4 linked regions of the Drosophila melanogaster genome follow. Changing the gene in region 4 together with the main gene of any one other region gives a genetic interaction. Each region holds a gene or a part of one and is shown on either strand. Other genes may lie near its edges. The genes, in order: Dronc, Drice, Dark and hid.

Region 1 (6,971 bases), 8.2 Mb from region 4:
AGAAATCCTAACTATTCTCGAATATATATTTATTGTGAATGTTTACGCTAGGCAAAAAATAAAAAAAAAATACAAAAATATGTCAAATATATACCTCTATGTGTCATTGAACTCGCCTATATCATCATAGTTTATCATATATATATAGTTTAAACCATATCACACTGCAAAAGATACAGAAGCAAACATATATTGCCTATTTATTTTGCAAACATCGATGATAAATATATGCAATCAACTAAGAGAGAATCGTGTACCTACATACAACGTACCTAGCACCATAGAAACCAAACTTATCACAGAGCTTTACAGCAATCGCAATCAAAAAAAAAAAAAAAACAAACAAAAAAGTAATCAATATGAATAACCACGAATACGAAAGGAACGTTTATTTTTTGGCCAAGAACCTCGAGTGATCCCGCCTGCGCTTTATAGTGATGAATCCCACATAAATCTATGTATATTCTATACCCATCATTCAATTCATTCAATATATACACACTATGATCAAACGTAATAGATAGCTCCAAAAAAACACCCAAAACTACTACTAAGGTGAATATACACGAATCCAATCCAAGGTCCACCGATCCGAAATAGAACCAGAGCCAGTAATTACTGAAGCCGCTGTACCCGAAGGCAATCTCAAACTCAATCTCAGTCTCACATTTATAGTCAATTTGTATAGTTGGGCAGCTATATGCGTAAAAGTGTGGTAATTGGTAATGGTAAACTCTTGAAACTTTATACATATAGTGAAGACTCACCAGTGTCATAGATGTATTCATTACGTAAACGGCAATTAAAGCGATTATTATCATTATTGTTGTGCTATGTTTAGCGGAGTAGAAGTGAAACCCGAAAAAAAATATGAATTTATATATGTATACAAAACGCAGCAGCAGCAGCAGGACGAACTCTATCTAGGACACATTAAAAACCACTCTACTTTATATACACATACTCGAATGATATGAATAAAAGTATGAATTACACGAACGGGAACGGGACAATCAAAATTCAAGCGACACTAAAACTAATTCTATATCAACTATCAACTAACAAACAATTGCAATTTTAAGTTACGTTGTTGTCGTTCGTTGTGTTTGTTCGATTCGTTGGATCTGCGTTTGGTTAATGCCAGCTAATTTGATCCTGAAACTCCAGCATATCCTTGCCATGCACCTGAAATTGCTTTGCATTTTGTTCGGTCCGAATTTGTTGTTTATTTATTTCACCTTAGACAAGCATATCGATATGGTTTACTAGCGTTTAATCGTACGTATATATAATTAGATTTACTTAATTTTAATTAATGTTTACGCGACAAGACAGAAACCTAAACACAAGAAACAAAAAAAAAAATTTAAAAATGAAAAAATTAAAAACAAAATCTAAATCAAAGAAAAAGGGGAAAACCAAAAGCTCAAACTGGACTGAACATTTAAGAGTTATATTATGTACATTATTGAATTGCATTTGATTGTGTGAAGATCGTTTTAGTGCTAGTAACTGCGCCTAAAACAAAAGGGTATTATATTTGTATTCGAATTTGTATGTAATTCTGATCGTATGTACGTTATGTTATCGTAAGTGTACCATCCTAGATCCTCTAATGAATTGAATTGAAATGAAGCCAACTCTGTCTCTTGTGATTCTATTGTGATGCTATGGGAGTCAAGCAGCACTCAACTGTTTTTATGCCTCTTAAAGTTTAAAACAAAGCTAATCGTAGCAAAACCTAAAACTAAACTACCTATCTCTACACTAGTCTATGCAATGCTAATTGGCAGCCCCAACAATTGAAAACAATCATGCACAATAAATGTTATGCAATTGAGAGAATCCAAAGGCCAAAGACCCACAACTTTTTCTTACACTACTCGAAGTAATTGTGTACAACTAAAGGAATTCTAGATTTTAAATGTGCTAAAACTGTTTATAGTCAAGTACTTAATTAAGAGTGTAATTATCAAATATTAATACGTACAAAGGTTGGGGCATTTGGCATAGTAATACTAATAATGTATAAACGTGGGATCCGATGATTTGATTGATGATAATGGAGCGGTGCAAATGCGTGTGACAATGTACGTATGTAACAAACAATTGAATTTAAATGTTTAATAAATGTGTGGAAATGAATAAATGCTCTGTGTGCTAAATTCCTCAATTACTCAATAACAGCCTCTACGTTAGCTTCTCGTCCAGGAATAGTGGATCCAAACTGCACTTTTGCCGCTGTTCCATGTAATCCAAAAACTGGTGGTCAAATAAACGCTGCCCCATGCTGCGTGCCACATCGTCGGATTCGTCGGTGTTTGCCTTCTCTATGAGCAGCTGTTGGCATTAGGATTTCCTTTTTTTTTAACTATTTTGGAAAGTTGATGCAGCCTTCTGCTCACCTCAATTTCCTTGGACAAAAATTCTTTGGTCGCATCGCTCATCTTCTTTTGCGGCTGGCCCATCAAAGCGTTTTCCAGAAACTTGTAGGCCTCACTGAAAGTACCACAATGCTAAATACAAATGTAGTTTATCAAAACCATTCCTACTTCAAGTCAATGCCGTTCAGTTCCGTTGGCGATGGCTTTGTCTCATTTTGGATTATGGAGTTCACAACGACGGCTGCTTCGAATTCGCAGAGTTCAGCGAGTTGCGAACTTTTCATGAGCTCCAGCCACTGGTTAATGTTGTTTAAGCTAACGGAGTCGCAGTTTTTCACCATTTCCTCGCCCTTGCCAATCATGTCGGCCACATACTCTAGAAAAGGGATTGGGGGACAATGTACTTTTATTGCATTATGCATGTTTTAAGAAAACTCACGGAGAATGCCATTCGAATTATTTTGATTTTGCTGCTTGGCTGCTTCGAGCAGGATTTGCTGTGAGTAGCCCAGTCTGTTTAGTTGCCTTTGCAGCTTAACTTTCACCTCTCTCGGAATCCTTGCAGGCTTTTCTGCGCCTTTTTGCGCGGAGTTTTTCGGTTCCGGCGTAAATTGTTGCTCCTCCTCCATTTCTTTTGTTTATGTTTACGGTTTGTTAGGCTGACCCCATATGGTATTTGGTATTTAGTATTAAATTGAATCATTTGATGCGGCAATGAAGGAATGGTGGAATAAGTGGAACATGGAGACGGTTCATGTCATGGATTTATCCCGGACGCGTTCTCTGGTTAAAATGGCGCACCCACAAGCAGCCACACCAATCCCAAAGTTTCATTTATTAGTTTAGTGGCGAGTTTGGCGGCGCGAAACGCTCGTTGGTCCTTTTGTTTCGAAAGAAATCCTATTCGAAGATCCCCGATCCTTGCTAGGATCATCTAGTGCAATATATAGACTAGTTAATTTACTTTTGGAAAAATAAGGACACCAGCAGGGCCGCCGATTTGTGCCCCTTTCTTGAAAGTCGCAAAACAAAAACAACGACGACAACAACAAAGCGGAGACAAAGAATCGACAAGTAGCGATAAACGAAATCATTCCCGGGAAAACCTTGGAGACGGGTGATTCACTGCCAATACCACTGCCAATTGGAGACTGATCACGGCAGCCATCCTTGGCGCGCCCAATAAGCGGAGTCACCGGAACGCGTGGAAGCCATATCCGGAATGCAGCCGCCGGAGCTCGAGATTGGAATGCCGAAGAGGCATCGCGAGCATATACGCAAGAATCTGAATATACTGGTTGAATGGACGAACTACGAGCGTCTGGCCATGGAGTGCGTGCAACAGGGCATCCTAACCGTTCAGATGCTAAGAAATACGCAGGATCTCAATGGCAAGCCATTCAACATGGACGAGAAGGATGTGCGTGTGGAGCAGCATCGTAGGCTCCTATTGAAGATCACCCAGCGTGGTCCCACCGCCTATAACCTGCTGATCAATGCACTGCGCAATATCAATTGTCTGGATGCGGCCGTTCTATTGGAATCCGTCGATGAGTCCGATTCAAGGCCACCCTTTATCTCGCTAAACGAACGGAGAACCAGCCGGAAGTCGGCCGATATTGTGGACACACCCTCACCCGAAGCCTCCGAAGGACCCTGCGTTAGCAAGGTAATGAAAATAAAATCATACGAAAGCTTTGATGGTGAAATTGCAGCTCAGGTCATTGACCCTGATTTCTACAAAAAACCGGTTTATGGCACAATTTATTTGCATTTTTTTTTTTAGGTTTGTTAATTGAGTTATTCCTATTGGAATGAGATTAGAAAAGGTATCTTTAAGAATTGTAAATGGACTCAATGATGAATACTACTTTGGTACATGTGCACAGTATTATTTGCTTCTCTTTCAGAAGTTAGTTCGTGTATGAGATTCTTGTTTTCCATTTTTTTTGGAAGCATGAATCACATCCATTCTACTTACCTATCCCAATTATTCTTTTAGTAGGATTTGTTTTTAACCAGAATCTTATCGCAATATTGCTGGCAGCTGTGTTTATATAGCACGAATGTTGATTACTTCTTTGTCTGCCACATTAACCGTGCAATGAAAATATAATATATATATTGAAAATCTTATCTTTATTGTAATTTGTTCTTTCTTTCTCTCTCCTACCAAAGCTCCGGAATGAGCCGCTGGGAGCACTCACCCCTTATGTGGGTGTCGTTGACGGTCCCGAGGTAAAAAAATCGAAAAAGATACATGGTGGGGATAGTGCCATATTGGGCACATATAAGATGCAATCACGTTTCAACCGAGGCGTTTTGCTAATGGTTAACATAATGGACTATCCGGATCAAAACCGTCGACGGATCGGAGCCGAAAAGGACAGCAAGTCGTTGATACACTTGTTTCAAGAACTGAATTTTACGATTTTCCCCTATGGGAACGTGAATCAGGATCAGTTCTTTAAACTTCTGACAATGGTGACCTCCTCGTCGTATGTGCAGAATACCGAGTGTTTCGTAATGGTACTGATGACACACGGCAACAGTGTGGAGGGAAAAGAGAAGGTGGAGTTTTGCGATGGATCTGTGGTCGATATGCAGAAGATCAAGGACCATTTCCAGACGGCCAAATGTCCTTATTTGGTGAACAAGCCGAAGGTGCTTATGTTTCCCTTTTGCCGCGGCGATGAATATGATTTGGGCCATCCAAAGAATCAAGGCAATCTCATGGAGCCAGTGTATACGGCGCAAGAGGAGAAGTGGCCTGACACCCAGACGGAGGGCATACCCAGCCCGAGCACCAATGTGCCAAGTCTTGCCGACACTCTGGTCTGCTATGCTAATACGCCGGGCTATGTTACCCACCGCGATCTCGACACGGGCAGCTGGTACATCCAGAAGTTTTGCCAAGTGATGGCCGATCATGCCCACGACACAGACCTTGAGGATATCCTAAAGAAGACGAGCGAAGCCGTGGGTAATAAGCGCACCAAGAAGGGTTCCATGCAGACAGGTGCCTATGATAATCTTGGCTTTAATAAGAAACTCTACTTCAATCCCGGGTTTTTCAACGAATAGTTGCCGCCACTGGACATTTTATCATTCCGGATGCATTTTTAACCGCATTTATGTTCTTATCGTCGCATTTAGTATGTCTTTTAGATTATGTGTTCTGTGCTCGCGTGCTATAAAATGTTTATATTGTAACAAATACTCATTCAAGTATTCTTCTAATACGTATTGCATACCTCATTTAAAGGTACGAAATTATGTAATTTATGTGATAACTGCCAGAAATCTACAAATATTATAATACAGAGTTCCAGTATATACACAGCCAGATTTTTGAAATCGAACATTTAGGCAAAATGTAAAGCAATTTTCCAGTCTGATTTTTGAGTGTGTACACTTACAAAATAAACGATGATATTTCACAACAAACCGCAGTTTGTATATAATTAAAATCTATTTACATTTCTAAAATTTCATTGGGACACTAATTATTATATAATATAATCTTAGGATCATACATTTTAACCTAATCATCCTGCTCATCCTCCTCCGCCAAGTGGGACAGTTGTAGTTTTCCCGCTGCACGGCTCTGTTCCGATTTGGTTTTGCATTTCTTTGGCTTATGCGGCTTTTGGCCAATTACATACTCAGGCATCACCAGCTTGGAACCTCTTAACTGCGGCTTATCCAGCTCCACATCATCCACCTCCTGCTGTTTGAGGCTCTTGAGCTTGCGGCTGAGTTTGCTGGTCCTCTTGAACTCGATCTTGCCATCTGTAGGTGGAGATTCGTTATCGACGCCCTCAGCCTCGCGCTGTGCATCCATTTGTCGCAGGAAGGACAAGGCGGCGGCGGAGTTGCTCTGTTCGGAAATGTCCACATCAGACAGGGAGTACTTCTTCCATTTGTGCGGGTTTACCTAGAGAGTAGGTCAAACGTTTAGGGTGGGGACAACTAATTGCAGAGGGATGGTCTGTCACCTGGTAATCTGGCGTTTTTCTTGGCTTCAAACAGCGTCCAATGGGGAGTTCGGGCTTCTTGAAAATGCTCTCCTTGCCGCGCATTCGTCGCAGTCTTCCATCCTCCGCATCGAGGCCAGTAACAATGCTGCGACCCTGGCGGTAGTTCATCACCTGTCCGGATTCGTTTCCGGATTTGTTTCCTCGATCGAGGGCATTGATGGAAAACGCCTTGGCCTTGCTCTGATCCAAGGCAGTTCCCCGCAACTCTTTGCTCGCATCGTCGAGACATGCGAAAAGAGCGTCTCGTTTGGCTGAAAATTCCTGCATTTTACTTAGTTAAACTGCACAAATGGCATTTGCTTAAATGCGTTGTGTTTGCAGAGGTAACTTTGTTTGCTGCAAATCAGCTGTTTTCACAGTTACCGTTTTGTATTTTCATCTAGTATTTTAGTAACGTGCAGTATTTTTAGACTATTAAGGCAGCTATTAAACCATTTCCTTTTCTATGGATTAGTCTATACTATGTGAGTTAACTGACATCATAGGGTTAAAATACTTTTTAAACGTAAATTAACAGATTTGAATTTATCCCATTCTATTTCAATAT
Region 2 (6,379 bases), on a different chromosome or scaffold from region 4:
GCTCTAATCAGAGTGTCGAGCGTCTCTGGCTTTCCCAGCTCCACTCGCTTGTTCACCATCAGCGTGATGCGATAGATAAGGTTTTCTATTATGTCAATGGTGTTGCATGTTGTATTGCGGAACGGGGCTAGTTTCGGTGGTACATCCGAGCTCAGTTCCTCGAGATCCTCTTTGTCGGACAGCGGATCATCTATGGGTTCGCTGCCCTCCTCAATTAGTTTCAGTATATCCAGAACATTCGAAGGCTGCGAACGATTGGCGGCTATGCGCCGCTCTCTTGTGTCCAAATTGCTATTATTTGTGCTGTCATCCTCATCTTCGTCGTCATCACTGCACGCCGGAGAATAGTTGTCGTCGTCATCATTCGTCAGCAGATCTGTGCACACCGGTGACATGCTGCGCGAACTGCAGGGACTGGTTGTGCGATAAGACCTAGGTGAACTGCTCGGCGATTCAAAGTCCGATCCTAAGGTCTCGTGGGTTTTTGAGAACTTGTGTGCAAAAAGTGGGTATAATTAGCAAGTGGCTTGTAAACATATGCTAGCTGCTATGCTGCTAAATAAATACCTTGCTCAGCGTCTCTGGCGTTGTGGGATCCGTCAGTTTTCTTTTTTTACCACCTTGCAGTCTCTCGTCTCGTCGACGTTTGTGATGCTCATCATCGCTGGTCAGGTAATCGTTTAGTTCCCGCACCAACATGGGCATTAGTCCTTCATACAGCATGAGTTCCATGCTTAAGTTATCATATTGGAAGTTGTAAAGTATGTGAAATAGCTGTTGGGTATGAAGAAAGCCATTATATATAGCAGATGTCAAGAGGGATTTGGTTTCCATCTCACCGATGATCGCTCGCTCTGCGAGTTGGAGTCCCGGATCATGGCCACCAGCTTGCGCAGTGCCCCACATCTCCGGATCTTCGAGCGGCTGCAGGCATCGGTGGATAGCGTCAAGATTATGTTGATGCAGTGCCGGCTCTCGCTTTCGCTAAGTGGCTTTGCCATGTTCACAGCCATGAGCATCTCGCAGGCAGCCACAATGGCATCCGCAGTGCTCAGCATGTAGAAGGCGAAGGGATCCTTGCAGAAGTTAGAGAGGATTTTAAGGGCAGAGGCCCGTTGGTCGCCGTCCTCCTTTACGAAGCACACAATGGAGGCGAGCGAGGTATTCCAGGAAATGGACTAACAAGAAATGTTTATTATGTACTACGTTTTGGAGAACTTAGAAAACAGTCTCACCTCCCAAACTTTCAGTCCAATTTGCTGCGCGGATATCAGGACCAGACACTTCAGAATCTCGAGGGCCAGCTCAACGGCCGCTTCATTTTCCTTGGGCAGCGCATAGTCACAGTTCCTTGTGGAATTCTTGAGCATCTGGTGGTCAAAGATGTCACTGCGAACACCCTCCAAATTCCGGGCTACCTCCTCGAAATACTTCTCACGGTGCTGGTTCCTCTTCAGGCCAATCAGCGTGGACATCTCGATGTCCGGAACGGGCTCCTTGGATGCCTCTTCGTTCTTCATCACGGCCAGAAAAATTCGCATCAGCTGCTGGAACCCATTGGCCATGAGGAAGTACTTCAGGAACTGGCTGCTGGCCAGAAGGAAACGGCAGACGCGGAATGCCATGATGCGGGTCTGCACCGCACTGGTGGACTCAATGATGTGGCAGATGGCCGGTGCAATGGCCGCATAGTGCACTGTGAGACACTGGGACGCCTTCTTGCTCTTGGCGATGTTTCCAAGCATCCGGCAGGCGCGGCACTGGATCAGGGGATTAGGTATGGTCTTCAGAATGGTCACCAGCGGGTGAATCACCTTGCATTCAACAGCCTTAAAGTGGAAAGTTTTAAATTTTTTTAACCGTTGTGGTTCAAAATAAAGATAAAAATGTAATCTGATAATCCCACCTCAATGCAGGACTGTTCGTCGGTGCAGCAGTTCCCCAGTATGCTCAGTACCACCTCCATTATCTTTTCATTCAGCTTGGTGATCAGTCGCACCTGGAAGACGCAATTAATAATGATTTAAAAATCGATTCGAATAACGATCCTATGTGAGCGGCAGTGGCTGTCAAACCACCATGAGCGTTGTGACTCCCAAACCCACCATGATGTGAACGCCCCCAGCAGTGCGAAATAAAACAATGCCATTTTTATCCTTCACCAGATCGGTGCGCAGCTTCACCAGGCATTTGTAAATGACTGTTCGATCCGTGGAGGTCTTTAGCACTTCCAGCATGCTCTCCACTTGCTCTGGTGTCCAGAACATTGGTAATTTTCTTAATTTTTAAACAAATTGAAACAATTCAACAAATTCTACAGTGCGTCTCAAACCTCTTTGAGAGTGTGACCGTGCATAAGAGCGTATTTTACGGTATTTTACGTTATTTTTCGAAAATCCAGCAGCGGTCTGCCTTATTTATAAACTGATGTTTACGTTTTAGCTTTGGATGCGAATTCGATTCTACAATAATAAATGGAAGCAGGCCTGTTTTTTATGTAGATTATACAAGTTCCCACAAAATTACCTCCAAGCTTTTAATTTCAAATTATTTTAATATTTTTTAAAACCCATTTAATAATTTTTCCTATATTTATTTACTTTCTTTGTTTACCGTAATCGTGACACGAGGGCTGAAGTGTCATCACCAAATCAGGCGCTATTTGGTGTTTTTCAACTGCCAACAACGGTCTTACAGAATTAAAGACAAAAACGCAATCGACTAAAGTAATTAGTTAATAACTAGCTGTCTTTGTTGCGCGTAAACACGGACTTTCCCCAGAACGAAGCTAATTTGCCCAAGTCGTGCATCCAAGCTTTTCACAGATTTGGAAAAACCTGTTTCGCAGTGCTTGTGACTCATCAGTTTTCGCAGGCTCAAGGAGAGAACTTAGCCATGGACGCCACTAACAATGGAGAATCCGCCGACCAGGTGGGCATCAGGGTGGGCAATCCGGAGCAGCCCAACGATCACACAGATGCCCTGGGCTCCGTGGGATCCGGAGGAGCGGGTAGCAGCGGCCTGGTCGCAGGATCCTCGCATCCTTACGGCAGCGGAGCCATTGGGCAGCTGGCCAACGGGTACAGCTCACCCTCGTCCAGCTACCGTAAGAATGTAGCCAAAATGGTCACCGACCGCCATGCAGCCGAGTACAACATGCGCCACAAGAACCGCGGAATGGCACTGATCTTCAACCATGAGCACTTCGAGGTGCCCACCTTGAAGTCTCGCGCGGGAACCAATGTGGACTGCGAGAATCTGACTCGGGTGCTCAAGCAGCTGGACTTCGAAGTGACCGTGTACAAGGACTGCCGCTACAAGGACATTTTGAGGACAATCGAGTATGCAGCGTCGCAGAATCACAGCGATAGTGATTGCATCCTGGTCGCCATCCTGTCGCACGGCGAGATGGGCTACATCTACGCCAAGGACACACAGTACAAGCTGGATAACATCTGGAGCTTCTTCACGGCCAATCACTGCCCCTCGCTAGCCGGCAAACCCAAGTTGTTCTTCATACAGGCCTGCCAGGGCGACAGATTGGATGGCGGAGTGACCATGCAGCGTTCTCAGACGGAAACCGATGGCGACTCCTCGATGAGCTACAAGATTCCAGTGCACGCCGACTTTCTGATCGCCTACTCGACGGTTCCTGGATTCTATTCGTGGCGCAACACCACCCGCGGCAGCTGGTTCATGCAGAGCCTGTGCGCCGAACTGGCGGCCAATGGCAAGCGGCTGGACATCCTGACCCTGCTCACATTCGTGTGCCAGCGGGTGGCCGTGGACTTTGAGTCCTGCACCCCGGACACTCCGGAGATGCACCAGCAGAAGCAGATACCCTGCATAACCACCATGCTGACGCGCATTCTGCGTTTCAGCGACAAGCAGTTGGCACCAGCCGGACGGGTTTGATGGCTAATGGTATGGATCAAACGGTGGGTACGGCGAGGTGTGTGATAAACCAAGTCGCAATTAAGTTAGAACCTCATGGGCTATCGGCCTTGCAGCATATTTTTTATACAACACTTTTTTAACCTGCCCAATTGCTCGACGAGATTGGTGCCACTGCCCGTTTTATTTTATTTAGGCACAAAGTATCTTTCGATTGACATTTATTAATGTCGCATTTACTCGTCTGTATTTATATTTTTTGGGGTGGGTAGAGTAGATCGATTTAACTTAGAAATCTAAGAGGTTTTTACTCCGGCCAAAATTTTTTGACAATTTTAACTTGCCAACTGAACAAAGACGATCTCAAAATTTTAAATTCTCTACTAAACCTTATCATAGAACAACTTGCGCCTCTTTGATTCTCGATCAGGAATGTCGGCCCACCCTTATCTATATCTACCTTAGACCATTTACAGACAAGACCTTTTTACAATTTTATACACATAGATATCTTTATAGTATAAGCCTGTGTGTCATGGTCGTCCAAAACGAAAACAAACGATTTTAGCCTGTAGTCGAGTGTTTTATGAACAATATATACTATTTCTATGCCATTTGTACTCTTATATAATGCACATTAGCAAATGTTCTCCTTTCAAGTTAACCGCTAATAAATCCGATTGAAAACAATGAGAAATCAATGACCATTGGCTGTTTGCTGTTGACCCTGTCGCCTCTTTTGGGCGCCAAGTTGAGCGGCATTTCCCGAAAAGGTAGCACGCGGAGACGGAAAAATAGACGAGTCCAGCCATTGGCTGACCCTGATCGTACGATTTCAGAGCTTACAATCACTTTATTCTTAGAGCTGGACACAACGAGAATAAATTCCAATTTATAGTTCACTTAAAGCACACGGGTATGGGTTGAATTCAGAGAAATTTAAAGCCTGTCAGCAAATCCGACTCTCCGGCTAGATAAATGCACGTTTCTGATAACTTTCGACTAATTAAAAACGTAGAATATGCGCTCACAATTTTCTAGTTGAGGAACATCTAGATGTGGCCGCCCTCCTTTAGCTTGGCCACCAGGGCATCCACGTCGGCGACGGTGGCGCCGGCCTGGCGCACAGGAGGATCCTCCACGGAGATGACCTCGATGCGGGGCGAGGTGTCCACGCCGAGATCCTTGGCCGTAACCTTCTTCAGCGGCTTCTTCTTGGCCTTCATGATGTTCGGCAACGTGGCGTAGCGAGGGGTGTTCAGCCGGAGATCGGCGCTCAGCACAGCCGGGGTCTTGGTCTTGATTGTCTCCAGGCCACCATCAATTTCACGCGTGATGGTCAGACCGGCGTCTGTCTTCTCGATCTTGTTGCAGAAGGTGCCCTGCGGCCAGTCGAGCACGGCGGCGGTCATCTGGGCCGTTTGGTTGGCATCATCGTCGATGGCCTGCTTGCCAAGGATGACCAGGTCGGCTTTTTCGTCAAGAGCCAACTTGGCCAGAATCTTCGACACGTGGATGGGCTGCAGAAGCTCGTACTCGGCGGCCGGGATCTCTACGTGGACGCCGCGATCGGCGCCCATGGCCAGGGCGGTGCGGATCACCTCCTGCGACTGGGCCGGGCCCACGGAGACGGCGATCACCTCCTCGGCCAGCTTTTTCTCCTTCAGCTTCACCGCCTCCTCCACGGCGATCTCGTCGAAGGGATTCATCGAGTGCTTCACGCCCTGGGTGACCACGCCAGTCTTGTCGGGCTTGACGCGCACCTGGACATGATAAATGTAACCTGAATTAGTTTAATTGCCGCTTAATTAAGGCGATTACGCAAAACAGAGCGCAACAAGTGATAAAAAGACAATGGGACAAGATGCGCAACAGGCGACTTTTCAGGCTCACCTTGACGGCGTAGTCGATCACACGCTTAACTCCAACCAAAACACGCGCCATTTTCTGCCAAATTAGTTATAAAATTGATGAAATTTACGGAAATTTACTGAGTTTCAAGAACTTACCTCTTCAAGATGGAAATGAACTGATTTGTTGGCGGCGGGGGCGCGGGTGGTCCAAAGGTCTTCTCCGGCTACAGCGTTGCCAGACAGAGCAGCCGATTATTTGCAGCTATAAAATGTCCAAATATTCCCGCTGAAATACATTTTTAAATTCATGTATCTTAAAGGACTAACAACTTTAAGCAAAACTAGGAAACATAATTTCTGAAACTGTGGAGTTGATGAATTACGAATTCAACTATTTACGGGGGAGTAGCTAAACTTTGTGCTTTTCGCTCCTCTCTAGCCGCCAACAGCTGTTCTACTTTCACCGCAATCACTTCTCTGCAGCGACGAAAACATCTCATTCCAATCTTGAAAAGATCTCCCGCATCCTTGTCCCATACAAATAAAATAACGATGGCTGCAACTGCTCCGGTAATTATGCGCGTCATGGCGTCCTCGATCAGCACCGCCAAGCGGGCTGGCGGCATCATACG
Region 3 (9,656 bases), on a different chromosome or scaffold from region 4:
CTTCTTAATATATTTCGTACGTGTGTTCATTAAGGCAATGTGTGTAAATCTTAGCTTATAAAAATTATAGCCCAAACTTGACTTGAACTTTTTAATAAAACCAAAATGCAAACATTGAGGCCAAAGCCTTTTTATTAATTTAAGTCAGCTTAGAAGTAGACGAGCCACAATCCAGATACGTACCTATTTATTGGACCGCAACACTGATATCCATACACGAACTTAGCAGCACTGTCCCGGGACCAATGCTTTTGCAACACTTGATCTGGCGTGCCTGGCAGAAATCAAAACAAACGCACAGCACAACCACCCACACAGACATGCATGCATACATACATACGGACAGCACAAAGAGCAGACAACAAAACCGCGTTCTGTGTTTTTCGTGAAATGTCGTTTATTTGGTGGCGGTTACTCGCGTTGACAAACAAAGGCAGGGCAACGCACCCACCGCCCTCTGAGATATCATACTTGGTTAGCTGCATACATTCGCAAATGTAAGCGCCAACAACTAATGTTTGCCTAGGACAAATCCGGACCCAGGAGGTAGAAGAGCAAAACCATCAGGTAGTAGAGCAGTAATCCTATAAATGCCATGTTGTAGTTTGGACTTTCCTGTTTCGTGCGCCGCCTAGGGACGCACTTCTGGCGTCATGAACTGGCCTCCTCCAGAATTGGTGTCGCCCTCGCCACTCCGCCGTTCTTCTCCAGAACCAGGTTGCCAACTACATCAGCACCCTCGCTATCCGAATCCTGCATAAGTGGGCTGTCGAGAATTCGAAGATTTTTTAAGTCTTCATACTGATTGGCAATATCCAACGTAACTGGGTCAGGTGGAGGTTGAAGTCTGCTTAACTCCAGCAACTGCAGATGGTAGTAGACACCCTCGTCATCTATGGCATAAAAGTGGGAGAAGTGGGCGTCTGTGAAGAACTGACGAGCTTCATTTCCCACAAATTTAACGCAGGCCAGGAGTTCCGGACGGATGGCATTGCCGCGCTTATTCCGCCACAGTTCCGCAGTCCCTCGGTTCACCGGATGAAACTCGTCGGCAACGAATGTCACATCTACATCGATGTCCGCTGCAATGGGCGCCGCATCCACAGCATCCTCTTGTGTAACACTGTGCTGCTTATGGCGTCGACTGCGCCGCCGTTTTTGCTCGCGCTCCAATTGATTGTTGCGCATGTGCGTCACATTCCAGAAGCACAGCTGCTCCGCGCAGCTGATCAGGAGCAACTTACATGGCGAGAATAGCAATTGCCGGATGCAGTGCTCGTGGACCTCTTCAATGCTGTAGATCAGTTGAACTTTTCTGTTTTCAACGGCAAAGAGCTGTTGGGAAATGTATAATTAGCAGGAAATAATTATGAAACGAATTTGTAAGACGTATGTATACCTCTAAAGTGCCATTTTCGAAACCCATAGCCAACATGGTACCATCATCCGTGGCTACCAAATAGCTGATCTTGGCCTTCTGGGCGATCTCTTCTTCGCAAATCTGTTCGTACCTTAGTTGGTTACAGCTGAATATTAAACGGAATACCTGTCGTTGGAAATAATTGATAATTGTTTAATGATATTATGTTTAGCAAACCCACATCGATGATGTTGTTTTCGTAGGCCAGAAAGAGAAGACTGTTCTTTAGATCAAAGCCGACAATGTATTCCTCCGAATCCTTTGGTTTCACGAATGCAGATGGGTTAGCTATATCCAGATGCTGTTGGTAAATATTGAAATCAAATACTGCACTTTTACTCGCATAAACTTCAATTAAGAACACTCACACAGACTCCGTGGTCGGAAAACAAAATGATATACTGTCCTTCCTGCAAGGACGCGTACTTGGTACTAACATCCATCATCAATGGCCACTGGTCATTGGGTTGCAGCGGATCTATCTTTTCCAGCTGGAATATCACAGTCTTCTGGGCACTGTGTGCCGACGCCACCAGAATGTTGGGACTGACCTGTTTGAGGTAATCAATGGGCTCCTCTATAAACTGCTGAGGTAGCGCTGTATCATGAATAACATCTATTATCACTCCGTCCACATAGCCAACGAAAATCTGTTCGTCGTTAAAGGCGGATATGGCATTTATCTTACAGTTACTGGCAGCATGAGTGGGTGTGATTGTGGACCATTCGGAAATTCTAGAAATGGCCGGTTTAATTAGGTGAATGCGCTCCTTGGAGTCCACAGCCAGAAGTTGCGTCCGCTCTCTGGTCATGTCCATCAGAGAACGCAGATAGACATTAGGCTCCAAGCAAGCCTTTGTCATCACGCTTATCTCATCTGCACTGTGAACCCAGGCGATTTCCCTGTTTTGATGTGAATTCGAGCCGCTTACAGAGCGCAATGTGTGCACATGGACCACCTGTTTTCCCTTAGCGCCGCACAAAACAATGTACTTATAGACAGGATCAAACAGCTCGTATATATCCACACACTCTATATGTTCGCTGACATTGCTGCGTAGCACGGGATCAGAGATTTTCAGATCATACACAATAAGTCCCTCGGACGTGCCCAGCAGTAGGTAACGTCCGTCAGTCGAACGCTTTCCGCAGGTGATGAAACTTCCTTCTGGCAGTTGCACTGCCTCCGATTGCAAACTAACCGAAAGACCTGGCAAAAAATTGAGCCGCCATACGCTGTACTTAAAAATCAGCAACACGGTGGCGGTCTTACTCCTTTCGTCAAATACATCTAAGGCCAACGGCGTGTCGTTTTCGACATTAAAAACATGTAGTTCCAGCGTATTGCTGGAACCGTTGGTCAAATCCCATACAGTAAGTGTGCAATTTGAGGTGCAGACCACGTAATATCGCTTTAAAACCTGAACGAAACACCGTATTCCCGACTGCATCGTTTTCAAAACAGGCACGTGCGACAGTTTGAACTCCTGATCTTGTTCGTCCCAATTCAAAATACTCACATCACCATTGATGAATGCCACATGCAGTTGGATGTTGGCCTCTGGCAATCCGGCGTCTTCATTTAAATAGAAAGCAACAATTTTCAGATTTGCATAGCTCCCTATAAAGCGTTTAACCACGCTATTGACTAGCTGCTGCTTGCTACCACCACTGTGGCGCCTTCCTGGACAATCGGGCCACAGGGACCAAAGTTTTACGCTGCCGTTGCAGTGCAAGGTGATCAAGTGCTTCTGTTGGTTAAATACCGCCATACGCAGAATGTCACTGCTGTCGCTCTCGTCCCTTAGCAAATAGGTGTCCTCTCCCTCCAGCGAAACATCGGTTAGCAGGATCTGCCCGCTGGCCAGCGCTATCAAGCAAAAGTCGTTGTGAAGGTAGACAGCATGGCGCCCCTCATTATCACCCAGGTTTATAATCTGACGGTGCTGGTGGAAACGACCGCTGATAAAAGGAAAAAGTGAAATAATAATAATAAAGTAACTTTAATATATATACATTTCATTATTACTAAAAATGACAGCTCTGTTTGTTTGATTAGTCAATAGCTGGTAAGTACTTACTGGTTAGTAAACCAAACCCGATCGTCAAAGCGCTGCACTTGTTTATGGGCTTCTTCAAAAATCGCCTCATCCTCGGCCATCAGGGCAATCCTAAGCAGGTCCGTATACTTTGAACAAATAAGATTTTCCTCAATCTTTGGCAAAAAATCCAGAATAGCGTTGACTAAGCGCTCATACTTTGGGTCATTGTCTGCATGAAAAAAAGATTACATTTTTTTTTTGTTTCAAATGATTCAGAAATTTACGTACCGCAAATATATGGCTTGTAGAACTTCAGCTGCTGTAGCGTGTTCAAGATCGATCCACTGGCATTCCAAGCAGTTGAATCGTGCCGAATCTTTTGTTCTAGAAAACGGAAATCTAAAAAGACCATGCGAAAGAGAGTCATCCGTTCGGGGTGCTCAATGTTTTTTAGATGATGACCGATGTGGCTATAGAAGTATTGGTCCAGGTAAGGCGGTATCAAGTCGTCGGAATCGAATGTTTTTGGGATACTAACAAAAAGGTTAAAATCACTCAGTATACGGCTTACTCGTGGCTTAAGGTTAATACATTTTAGCAAAAATTCAAGATATCAAGAAAAGGGCTAGGAACATACTTATAGTGATCTACGATACTCCGATGAAGTGCATATTCGTTTTCAAGCTTGACTTTCAACTCCAAGTATATGCTGGGTATACTTATGGTTGACTCTTTTGGTTGCTTCTCCACCAATGAATATTTATGAAGTTTGTTAACCACTACCATTACATCGGATTTGATAACATCAAACCATATCAACGATAGGAGCTGTTCAACAGGAAGTTGATAACGATTAGTAGATGTATGCCGTAAAGTGCAGTGCTCACTTACAATAGTGGGTATGTGGGCTGATGGAGGGAAAACTGACAGTCTATCAAACATTTTTCTATATTCAGCGGGCTCCAGAACGTTTAGAGAGCTCTCAATGATGGTCGTCAGCTTATCACAGTTTACACTACAAAAAAAAATTATGTATTTATTCAGTGTGAACACTCATAATCCACATACTGTTTCCAGTTGTCCCAGGTCGCCAGACCATCCCGAATGCTCTCAGCAATAATGCTTAGTCTGCGGGGATTCGTTGTCAAAACTTCCCGGGGCAAATCCTGTGGTCGACAGTCGAGGTACTTTAGAAGCAAAGACTTAACCTCATCCGGCGTAAGCGTCATCGAATGATGATCCAATGAAATATGAGTTGTGGTAGCTGCCGAAAGAAAGTCAGTGACCTGCTTGAACCGTGTGGTTAGCAATATCTTGCAGCTCAAGTTGAAAGCATTCCAAGCCTTGGCATTTTGCACATTAAGCAGAACAAGGAGACAATTCTCGTATGGCTTGCTCTTGAGCAGTCGTCGCAGTTCCGCCTGAATGCTGTGGATTCGAAGCTTTATGTTACTGCTATGATCGCTACGACTTGTCCAGTTGGGATCGATCTGGTAAAGTAATTTCTGCAGCATCTCTAGCACGGTCTCCGGGCTATTGCAGTTCTTCAAGTTAAGCCAGAAGATCTTAAAGTCCATCTTGCATTGCACTTTGTACGATAGGCACACATCCAAGGCTACCCAAGTCTTTCCCGATCCCAAGACGCCATCAATCAATACATTTTTCGCTGGGCGAAGTTCTAGAAGAGCCTGCCTTAGCTTCAGATACTGAAATATAAAAAGTATTGTAGTATGGTTAGATAACAATTCCACAGAGTAAAATTGTTTTTCGGTTTCGTACGTTGGACTTCTTTGATTGTTTTTTTTTTCGAATGGGAGATTATCATACCGGTTGCAGGCGGCTCACATTGTACTTGGCGAATACTTGGTTGTCGTTGTACAGACGATCTCTCTGCTCGATGTACATCCTGGTCATCATGCTGGGCTGCCGTTGCTCAGTCTTGATTGGCGACATTAAGAATTTGTAGTTGATCCTGAGAACTTCCTCCACAAATTTCTGGACCATTTCCTCCTGTTTAGAGAGCAGTGTCCAAAACAAGCGAAGTGTGCCGCTGACTGCATCCTTAGACATGATGATGTGGTCAATTTCCTCCTTGGACAATATTGATTTCGGCATATCCTGGACATCCTTGCAGTCGAAGTTGTCGACGAATGCATCCTCAAACACGGACAAAATGTCCTTGTATTGGTATTGGTGCTCCCCAGTTTCAAAATCCATATTCGTGTTACCTACATATGTAAATATTTATATAGTAACTAAATTTTATAGCTATGTTAGAAATAATTTATTGGCATTGGGTTATTTTTTGTGGTATTTTCATTAATTACAAAAGAAAATGTTATAGTCGAGTTTTCCGGCTATTAGATACCCGTTACTCTGCTGGAAATTTTTATCTCATAGAAATTCGAAAACAAAATAAATAGAAATAAAAATTAAAACGGTTCAAAAGTGTGGCCGTGACAGTTTTGAGCAGTTTGTGGGCGTTAGGGTAGGCGTGGCAACATGGGTGAATAAACTTGGGCTGCGTCTGTATCTCTAGAATCTGTATTCTTAATATCAACCTTCTAGCTTTTATTGTTCCTAAGCTCTCCACGTTCACACTAACGCAACCAGATCGAGTGTTCTAATAATAAAGCTGAATCAAATCCGAATCCCTGTCTTCTCCTTGGTCGGGCAATCACACAAATCATAAATTTGGTTGGACCAACCAATAAAAACTCAGGTGCAACTCTTAGCGAACAGAATCAAGAAAATCGAAAAAAACAAATCAAAACAAAAAAATGTTCATTTCAAATGCACATATGTATGCATGTATATGTGTACATACATATGGCGGAATTTTTGGCGCCAAGCTTGGCCCACTTTATTTGAATGCACCGTAGACGGCTTCTCGAGGAGAGAAATGCGATACCATGGATCTATGAGATCCCTTATCTGCAAGCTGAGATCGACTGGATCATCGGTAATTTCACAACTAATCGACAAGGACGCGAACGAGATCGCCTCTAAATAGCTAGGAATACGTGAGCTGGCGGTGCAACCATCGAAAAAGGCAATTCCGGTTGCATTTTTGTTCTCCTCCGCTCGTCAATGTCGTAGAACCAAAATCGGATCGAATTATTAATCACCAGTTAGATAAGCGCGTAAAGGCAGAGAGAAGATACGTCACTGAGTTTGCCGTGTGAATGAACTTGTTATGTTTGTGTGTAAGTGCTCTCGCATGCAATTGTTTCAGTCACACACACAGTGCCTTGGATTTGTGATTGACGGGGAGGCACAAGGCCCAATGGAAGAATTAAACAAATGGACTTGTAGAGCACAGAAAACGAAAGCACTACAGGTACATAAGCTTTCACCTGCACGCATATTTACTTACGCTCGCCGTTTATTTTTAACAAATCGTCGTCCTTATTCGTATTTTGTTGTATGTGTAAGTATTGCACTTTATCCTTAATATATAGTTGCTCCGGCTTGTTCACATTGTTCTAGCACATTCTAAGCGAAACACTAAAGGCTTGAAAAAATATAAATAATGTACTAATCTATGCTACTCATTGAGTAGTACTCAAAAAATAACAAAACGGAATTTATTCGACTGTGTGACCGTTTTACGCGAGGGAAATAATATCGAATTATATATAGGGTTGTCAAGTGGTTCAAAAATGATTTTAATCGTAATCTGAATTGTAATTCGATATTATATTGCGTGATTTAAGATATTGAGAATTTGTATATTCTTAATAAGAAATACAATTTACATTACGATTAAATTAATTTTTGAACCGACAACAAATAATATATAATAATAAATTCTTATTTATATATTAAGAATTTCTTATTATATTTTAATATATATTATTTGTTATTAGTTATTAATTTGTTATATATATGCCACCTTATATATATATGCCAAATATATATCTCTTTTCCAACTAGATCTAAGATTATAATAATACCATGATTTTCTTGTACGAAATGAAGTAGTTTATCTAATGCTTATTTTCTAAAAAACGGTTTAGCACTTATTACTTTATTTAAAGTGTGACCATATTGAGCCGTATCGATATATCACAGACAACAAAGGTATTCACTGCCAGGTAAGTTTTCACTAGCCACTTGCGACCACACCGACGGTGAAAAGGCGAAATAATAAATTTTAACAAATTGCCGCAGTGTAAATTAAAGGTGCGTAGCATTTTACATTCCCTTTCAGCGGTCACCGGCCGTCCCGCCCCCGCACCGTCCAATTTAACATTTTTTACGGCCAGTAAAACGTGCAATCCCACCCAAAATCAGACACGAAATTCGGAGCAGCGCATCAGAGACGCAGACGAGAAAGTGACGACGCAGCAAAACGAAGCAACAAAAACGAAAATCGGCGACGTACACATTCAACTTGAACAAATTTAAGGTAGGCATTGCAATTTCCCCACCACCACACGGTAGAGTCGGATAGGTCGTGTCCATTTCAATGGGAAACACCGACTGACCCGGCTGCGGAAAATAAAGAGATAAAAAAAGAAAGGCGACAAACCAGTGGTAGGAAAACAAAATGTCCGCAACTCTGTCTGAATCGGCGTCCCGAGGCTTGCAAACGTAACCACGCTGGGGAATGCCCTGGCGAATGTGATTTGTCTTTATTTAGATAAACTAATCCTCATCCATTACTTTACTCTGATTGGTGATTTGCAGTTTTCGAGTCCAACGCAATGTCATGCCGCGCCCCCTTCCAGCCCGACGATCAGTATGAGCAGCTGCGCCGGCCGAATGTCGGCGGAGCAGGCGGAGTGGCCATGCCGGGACTGGATCAGCAGGCGCATCTCTTTGGGGAGTACGCCGGAGCGCAGGCGTACGGTCAGGTGGTTGGCAATTTTCCTGTGCAGGCCATGCAACCCCAGGCGCAGACTCTGTCCGATGCGTCCAATCTGTCGGCCACGGCCACAATTTTCATCCCTCGAGGAGCTGCTCCCCCGCAGCAGCAGTCGCGACATCAGCAATACCAGCAGGCTGGTGGAGCCGGTGGAGGAGCTCCTTATGGCCAACAGCAGCCGCGCTATGTGAATGGTTTTAAGCATCACCATCAGCAGCACCACCAGCAGCCGCACTACAACCATCATCACAATCATCAGCAGAAGTTCAACAACGATATGCAGAAGCTAACGAATTCCGTGCAGAATCGCCTGCACCTGAATAGCCAGCAGGGCTCAGCCGGCAACTACTATCAGCAGCAGCAGGTACACCAAAACACACACCACCACCAACAACACCAGCAGCAGCATCAGCCACACAACCAACACGCCAAGTTTCAACGGCACTTCCACTTGAATAACTCATTCCAACAAATCGTACAGCAAACACAGCACAACCAGCCGCAGCAGCCGCACCACCAGCAGCACAACCAACAGCAGCAGCAGTATATTCAGAACCAGAATCAACAACCGCAGCCATCCACTTCGACTGCGGCGGCCTCCTCGTCGTCCTCGAACTCTTCGCAGCCGGACATGGCCACCATAGCACTGGAGTATCTTGATACAGTCATACATTGCCTTAACCAGGTGAGAATTTCGATTGATAAGCTATCAGGGCAATTATGGGCTTCCTTTGATTTATATTTTTAGTGTTTTATGATTATTTAATCAATTTTAATAGGTGTCAGCTTAATATTTTCTTTAAATATAACAATATATTTAAAATCAATATATTTATGCTCGAAAGTAAAAAAAAAAATCAGCTGAAACATTTCAGTCTAGTCAAACTTAATCTTAAGTTTTAAACCTAAATTTCCTACTAACCAGACATATTAATGATCTCCATCCAGAATCCGGGCCAATTTGATTCGATTGCATCACGCTTCCTGACCATTTTCGATGGCATGGAGAACAACCAATTCGTGCTCTCCATCGCCATGGAGGACATCTTCGAGAAGTCGATCGAGCAGCCGAACTTCCGGTACATGGGCGCCAAGCTGTACAACCTGCTGCACATGCTCAACTCGAAGCCGGACTCGCTGTTCCACACGCTGCTCAAGTGCAAGCTTGACTACCACCAGGAGGAAGTGACCAAGTACATGCGCTCCAACGAGCAGCAGAAGGTTCGCGAGACTGCCCTCTTTCTGGCCGAGCTGTACATGCAGTTGCGCGGCGACGACGACTCGCGCATCCAGTTGATCGCTGTGAATATTGTATATTCGCTGA
Region 4 (6,718 bases):
CAAAATGGTTGAAAATGTCAAGTGCGGCAGAGACGCCGGCAGCGAAAAACAACGCCTAGCAGCAGAACAGCTGTTGGCAACAGCAAAGCGAATGATGCGAATTTGCAAGCCAAAGCAGAGCGACCAAAACTTGGAGTTGAGTACGGTGGGGAACATTTTTGTACTCTGCACTGTACCTACATAGGTACATATTATTATCTATGATAACAAAAATCTATGTTAATAACTAAATGTTGAACCAAAAAAGTAATAGTCCATAATAGTTTACATAATAACCGCTAGGTTTACGCATCTTTTAATCTGCATCCAATTAGCCAACAGATAAAATGTACCTGTTCCCATCACTGATTAGGGAACCGCTGCTGTCATTGCACCTTTTGTTGGTCGCCATTGGGAATGGGTTACGTGGTGGGCTCTGGATGCTGTATGCATAATCCTCTCCCAAAACAAAAGGCTCCCTGCCGCATTTTTTTTTTTGCTTTTGGTAGGGAAAAGCTCTGTTGGTATTTAGGAATTTTTGTCGGGGTTGTTTGCGCCTCGCATTTTTAGGCTTTTAGGGTTGATAGCTGGCTGATGACTAAGCGCGTTTCTGGCTAAAAGTATTCCGTGAATCTGGCTTGCATGTATGTGTGTATGTATGGCATAGCTGGGGGAACCAGGAAAAAGGGTTCTCGCTTCTTGGTTAACTACAGTTTATCCCTTTCTTGTTTCAAGGGCTTCAAGCATTGTTCACTAGTTTCGGGATGTGTCACGATTAGATAAATTATCCTCTTGAGTGGCTAACTAAAGTACATGATCGGCGTGCGTTGAGTAGGGGCTTAGATGTGGTTCGGGAAAATGAGATAAGGGAAAATTACTTTTAAATCGAAACTTTCACGATAACGTCAAGTCTTTTTAGCTCGTTTTTCAAAATAAATGCCCCGCAATCGAATTTTCACTGGGCATCAGCTCTCGTAAGCGAAAAAAAAGTATCTCTGTATAAATTATGATATTATAGACGAAAACAGATTGAAGCGCCCAAAAGTGACTCACTGTAATTTCGAGAAGGGAACGCTTTTTTTTCGTCTGACCAACTGTTGCTGACAGCAAAAAAGGTAACAAACCAAATAAAACAGCAAAATAATATAAAGTAACAATTCGGTTGTTCGGTGGAACCAAAGAGCGCAGCTGGCAATCATCGACAGCGACAAAATCTATTATGCAAAGGCAACACAAAATTAAGGAACGCGAATGAAAAACCGCAAAGCAAACATGAAAAGCGCGCGCGCAAAAAAAAGAAAAACAATAAAAACTGACCGCACTCAACGTGGCCGAGCACAAAAGCTACTTAAACAACCGTTAAGTCAAACACTTTGCAAATGGCCCACACCCTCAACCCGTTTGGCCCCCTTTTGGAAAATCGGAAAACTAGTTGCCTAAGGTCAAATGGCGTTTAATAATTTGGGTTAGTCGAGTGGTAAGATATACGAGCAGTACGCTCGAGATAGATAGATATCTTGCAGATACCCAGACACACAGGCACACCACACTCACTCAAAAGTCTCAAAAGTAAGACATTCGACTCGAGTTTGGCGCGTGCCAATTAAACGTGCTTAGCTCTGTGCTCCCAGCTCTGTTTTATTGCCGCTGGGTTATGTTTCCCTGGTTTCAGCCAGGTCTTTATTTTCTTGCTGGTCCAGCACACGCCCAATTTTTTGACCATATTTACGAACAATATCGCATGACAGCCAACTCGGCAGTTGTCTTGCATGTGTCTCGGCGTTTCTTTCTTAAAGCCATAGCACACTAAAAGTTTTATCAGCCTAGTTTAGATAATCATGACCGAAGGAAATTGATCTTAATGTGATTTATCGAGCTAGTTATCACCATTTCTACTTTATTTTCATTTATTTATAACATAAGTAGATTTTTGTCTCAATACAAAATTTTTTAATTTGTAAGATTCCCACTTTGGGAATTTGATCCAGTAATTCCCCACATGATTTTGAGTTTTTGCAGTTTTGTGACTTCGTTTATTAAGTTTGCTCTCTCCTCCAATCGAAACTTCTCAATTACTTCTCAATTTTCCCCTTTTTGAACTTGTTCGATTAATTTTTATTGAATTACCGTTTTTTCGGCTTCCTTTCGAATGTGGCCGAGAAATTTGCCTTCCGCTCTGCCTTTTACACTTTTTTTTTTGCTGATAAGCTGACAAAGTGCTGAATTGACCATATATAAAATAAAAAAAAAACTGGGTAAAAGTAAACAAAAACAACCTGGATGCAGTTGACGCAGTTACTCGAAACTGGATGAATCAACAACCTTGAAAAGTGAAACTTGCACAAGGGGAACTGAAGCAGTTAACAAATAACGTCACAACTTGGCTAATTGCTGACCCATTTTAAAATGAGGGAAACCCTCCGGCTGTCCAGAAACTTTCTTAAACTAAACTAAATGATATTAAAAGCGGTAATCAAAAATATGAAACCTTTAAAGTCGCTTGTATAGAAAAAAATTGTTCGCCATTTTTTATTGATCAAATCTATTAGTTTGAAAATATCTTCAAACATTTAAAATGCTGTTTTTTCGAAAGAAATAAATTTACTATTCTTTAAGCAATTTCAAGTTAATAACATTTTTTGTTTACTTTTACAAGGAGATCCTATGAAAATCCTTCTTGTTAATAGCAAAACAAGTGGGCTTAAATAAAGTGTTGGTTATAAGCATTTTAGAAAATATATTACCAACATGCGTAAGCAGTTATTCTGTGTGGGAACTTCTTAAACATTTCGCAATTAATAACCGTATATGAATCGAAACTTATTTTTGTATCTGCAAATGTATTTGAGGTAAACTAAATGGATATCCTGATTAACCCACACAATTTCAAAGTTCTTAAGAGTGGAGAATTGAGATCTTTGTAGACTTACCACTCTGCTGGCTCTGGTACATCCTGACCCACTCGTAGAGGGCGTATAGCACTTGGTCGGTGGGCAGTGGAGACTGCATCGGCGTCTGCGTGGCCGACGAGGTGGTGGTGTTCGGCGATTGCGAGGCGGCGCTGCTGGCGCCGTCCGACGATGCGGAGGACGAAGATGAGGCCGAGGAGGCGGAGGCCGAGGACACGCCCGAGGAGGAGACGGACGAGGATGCGCTCGAGGGAAGTGGGTGGTTGTGGGGGGAGGAGTTGCCCGAGGCTCCCGATGAACTCGACGCTACGTCATCGGCGCCGCCCTCGGGCAAATAAAAGGGCACGGCCATTGTGTGGGTGTGTGTGTGTGCTGGCTTCCTTTTTGTCCTTATCCGCTTCCTTCCTTCCTGCACTTTGTTGGCACTTTGCTCTTCTTGTGATTGTTCTTCGCTGCTTTGTTTTGCTTTTTATTTTGTGTACAACTTTTGGTTAGAGTTCACTTTAATTGATTTTGTATTTCTTGTGCAAGATTTTGAATATTAGAAACTTTTTCATTTTTCGTGCAGTTTTTTCTTATGATTTGTTTTTTATCTTTCCTGATTTGTCAAACAACACTCAAGTCAAGTTTTTGCTCGGTTAGTTAGTTTTTCGGATTCTTCTGCGTTTTTCATCAACCCTTTTCGTGTTTAGAACTGATTTAAAAACACAAAACTGTTCACGATGGATTTCGTTTTTTATTTTTTGTTATTTTTTTATTCTTTGCTTTTGCTGTTGTCAATTATGGAAGAGCACTTAAAACGTGTCGCAGACTCAAAGAAAGAGGGCAGGAAACACGTCTTACTGGCTCCGCGGCTAAAAATGAACTGTTCGCACTGGGGCCTCAAACTACGGCAACAGAGCCTCTACCGCGACGTCGGCAGAGCGGCAGCGTAGGCGCGCAGCCAGTGCAATCGCAATCTCTCTCGCTCCCTCTCCTGCACATGCACGTGCATGAAGGAGGCACACTTGAGAGAAAAAAAATATTTTAAAAAATCCCGCTCTTTACCTACCCTGTAATAGCTGAGTGAGGAAGAGTATACTCGGACCATGAATTGCGTCTACATAAATGCATCAAGGAGCATAGTTAACATATCTAGATTTTAAGGTTGTAAAAATTTAATTGATTGGCTTTCGCATACTGAAAAAACTGAAATATTGTACCAGCGCACTAATTGCTGAAGTAACACTATTTTATAACTCATATTTACTTACAACATAAAGTACATATTTAGATGCACAAACAATGTGAAGGGTATGTCTCAGTTGGTACTCTTACAAAACGTTCTTTCTCGTTTCAACTAAGAGTGTGTGGGCAGGCTGTGTACGCGTGTATGTGTGGGTACACAAAGATCTTGTCGAGCAGGTAAATTCAGAAGAAGAAGAAAACTCATCAGAAGTAGCGAAGAGGCAGTATATCCGACTGCGCTGCCTAGCGAACGCTAAAGCAAAACAAAAACTGCAATTGTACAACACTCTTTGCTTGTGGTTTTCGTTATTGCACTTTGCTCTTGCTTTCGGTTTTGATTTGTATTTGTTTAAACAAGAGAGCGGAGGGAGAGCAAGCGTTCTTAAGAGGCCAAAAAACCGGAGTAGAAAGAGTATGATAAATGGGAGTATATTCTATGAGCGGATTAAATGAGTTAAAAAGGTAGTAGAAAAAAGGGAGTTTTTAGACAAAGCTTGATTACTTTCTCACATTTTAAAATATTTTGAGAAGGGAAGTTCACAATTTTATAATGTTCAATACTTTTTTTTTGAATATAAATTTGAAAAATAGCAACATGATTAACAAAGGATCCAACTTGCTTAGCTCAGGTTTTACTGGCTAAATGAATGTACATATGTATGTATGTATGTACATTTATGCAGAGAATGATTAGCTAGTTTATTGTATTTAATAAAATAAATTAAATTGTTTTATATTTTGGGTATTCAAGCAATGTAATAAAGACTATTTAGTTGGCGTTCATTCACATTAAACATTTCAAACGTGTTTTTGAATATACGATAAGGAGTTTAGCTAATTACATTTCCGATTTGGATGTTGGCTATATTTAATCAATTTCACCATATATCAAAAATTGACTGTGCAACATGAAAAACCTGTTTTCGCTCTTACTCTTGTCTTCCTCTGCATCTTCCCCTCTCCCTCCCACACATTATACAAACAGGCTTTTTCCTCTCCTTTTCTCTCTCTCTCTCTCTCTCTCTATTTCCTTCTCTGTCATTCCCAACTTTGCGCGCGAAAACGCTTGAAAAAAATTACGAAATACGCGTAAAACAATTCTTGGCTTTTAATTTAAATTTTACGGCAAATAATTCTCGTAACTGGCATTACTTTAGATCCATTTATTAGCTTTGTATCTATGTAGCTCTAGTAGCTCTCTTAATAATGTGGTATTATAAAATGTTCGCAATATAATTTAAAACAAATTAGATTCTAGACCTAAAACTAGTTTAATAGCCCATATTTCAAAATAAAAGAGGCCCGTCGAAAATTCTGAAGAAAATGCACTTGCATTTAATCTAGTTTTATTATACTTGTTCATATCCCTTAAATGATTACCTTAAATTTTTAAAATCAAAAATGATTTTAGCCCTACCTGACACCTTTTTTGTTTTCACCCAAAAACTCTCTTTATTTAATAAACTAAGATTGAGGTCAAAAATATGCCGATAAAGTGCGATAACACGTAAGCTAAACGACTCGACGACAAATGTATGTACGTAAGTATGTATGGATGAACATACATGAATATGTACATTATGCAAGGATTTCCCAAGATGACGAAATTCAAGCACACTCTTGCACAAAACGACATAAAAAACATGAACATGAGCGAGCATGCAACAAGCGAAGAAGTCCAAAGCGAAAAGAACAAAAGTACGTGAAGGCGGAGAAAACGGGGATTAATCGGAAAAAAGGGGCTCGATTTTTGTGATTTATTTTTTGTTTTCCCTCAGCTCTGCTTATGTTTTTAGATCGCCTTTATTATATTATTTGTATATCTTTCCCGTTCGCAACTCCAATTACTCGAGGCAGTGCAAAATAAATACAAAATATTTGGATACGAAACTGATTAAGCGTAATATGAGTGCACTGTGTCGTCGAATTGGCTGTCAGTGTCCAGAAAAAAGCAAAATAAACAGTAATGTGTTGTCTTGAAAAATGCGCGATTGAACAGGCCATTTTAAAAATGGGTGGGGTTTTCAGATAACAGTGTTTTGAATGGGGGTGATGAAATCAACTTGAGGCAGCACCGTTTGCGTGTTATAAATTCAATAGCACGCAGTTTCTGGATACACAAAGACAGTAGCCATGTTTTCCATACTTTTTCAAAGAAGTTTCGTATTTGTACGCCTAGATTGTGTTCAAAATGCAACTTATTTTCAATTGAAATACATACATTTTAAATAAAAGAAATTAATATATGTATGTATATTTTAACAAAGAGTAACAATGCCAAAAACGATGAGTTAATGAACTTTTCGTGTTAAATCTAAACAACTTATTAAAACTTAAATTTTTACATACATATGTATTTACCTTCAAAAAGAAATTAAAATAAGACGTACATACATGTACATATGTAAGTATGTAAGTATGTATTGTATCTATGTTAGATTCCGATTTTTACCACTGCAATATTAACAGTCCGAGAACACTTAAAAAATATCCAGTCCTATCAGTACTGAAGTCCCACAAATCAGCTCTCCACGCGATAGAGGCAAATCAAATGGAGTATGGAGAAATACAAATTAAAAGACTTCCCTGTTTGACATTTCTGG

What was found.
Region 1: of hid (region 4) and Dronc, changing one suppresses a phenotype caused by changing the other (phenotypic suppression), as found in Drosophila melanogaster (9 studies listed by BioGRID).
Region 2: of hid (region 4) and Drice, changing one suppresses a phenotype caused by changing the other (phenotypic suppression), as found in Drosophila melanogaster (6 studies listed by BioGRID).
Region 3: of hid (region 4) and Dark, changing one suppresses a phenotype caused by changing the other (phenotypic suppression), as found in Drosophila melanogaster (3 studies listed by BioGRID).

Annotation. Positions count from the first base shown.
Region 1 is NT_037436.4:9,965,282-9,972,252, forward strand, and holds Dronc (death regulator Nedd2-like caspase), read left to right. Parts: upstream 1-3,197; 5' UTR 3,198-3,606; coding exon 3,607-4,053; intron 4,054-4,562; coding exon 4,563-5,468; 3' UTR 5,469-5,721; downstream 5,722-6,971. Other genes in the region: CG6685 (uncharacterized protein), read right to left, coding at 2,191-2,340, 2,406-2,499, 2,553-2,760, 2,824-3,013; CG6674 (uncharacterized protein), read right to left, coding at 5,929-6,321, 6,383-6,691. UniProt on the Drosophila melanogaster protein: Involved in the activation cascade of caspases responsible for apoptosis execution. Effector of steroid-mediated apoptosis during insect metamorphosis. Overexpression promotes programmed cell death.
Region 2 is NT_033777.3:29,797,003-29,803,381, forward strand, and holds Drice (death related ICE-like caspase), read left to right. Parts: upstream 1-2,655; 5' UTR 2,656-2,895; coding exon 2,896-3,915; 3' UTR 3,916-4,582; downstream 4,583-6,379. Other genes in the region: Rnb (R and B), read right to left, coding at 1-491, 568-774, 840-1,178, 1,236-1,829, 1,907-1,999, 2,106-2,267; Etfb (electron transfer flavoprotein beta subunit), read right to left, coding at 4,947-5,657, 5,788-5,838; CG7789 (uncharacterized protein), read left to right, coding at 6,300-6,379.
Region 3 is NT_033778.4:17,017,424-17,027,079, reverse strand, and holds Dark (Death-associated APAF1-related killer), read right to left. Parts: upstream 7,054-9,656; 5' UTR 6,839-7,053; intron 5,691-6,838; 5' UTR 5,680-5,690; coding exon 5,290-5,679; intron 5,169-5,289; coding exon 4,531-5,168; intron 4,478-4,530; coding exon 4,354-4,477; intron 4,291-4,353; coding exon 4,100-4,290; intron 3,996-4,099; coding exon 3,751-3,995; coding exon of another isoform or gene 3,743-3,750; exon of another isoform or gene 3,692-3,742; coding exon 3,502-3,691; intron 3,429-3,501; exon of another isoform or gene 3,383-3,428; coding exon 1,789-3,382; intron 1,728-1,788; exon of another isoform or gene 1,722-1,727; coding exon 1,602-1,721; exon of another isoform or gene 1,547-1,601; coding exon 1,400-1,546; exon of another isoform or gene 1,336-1,399; coding exon 652-1,335; 3' UTR 377-651; downstream 1-376. Other genes in the region: Paip1 (Poly(A) binding protein interacting protein 1), read left to right, coding at 8,172-9,017, 9,281-9,656.
Region 4 is NT_037436.4:18,181,883-18,188,600, forward strand, and holds the start of hid (head involution defective), read right to left. Parts: upstream 3,760-6,718; 5' UTR 3,241-3,759; coding exon 2,910-3,240; intron 1-2,909.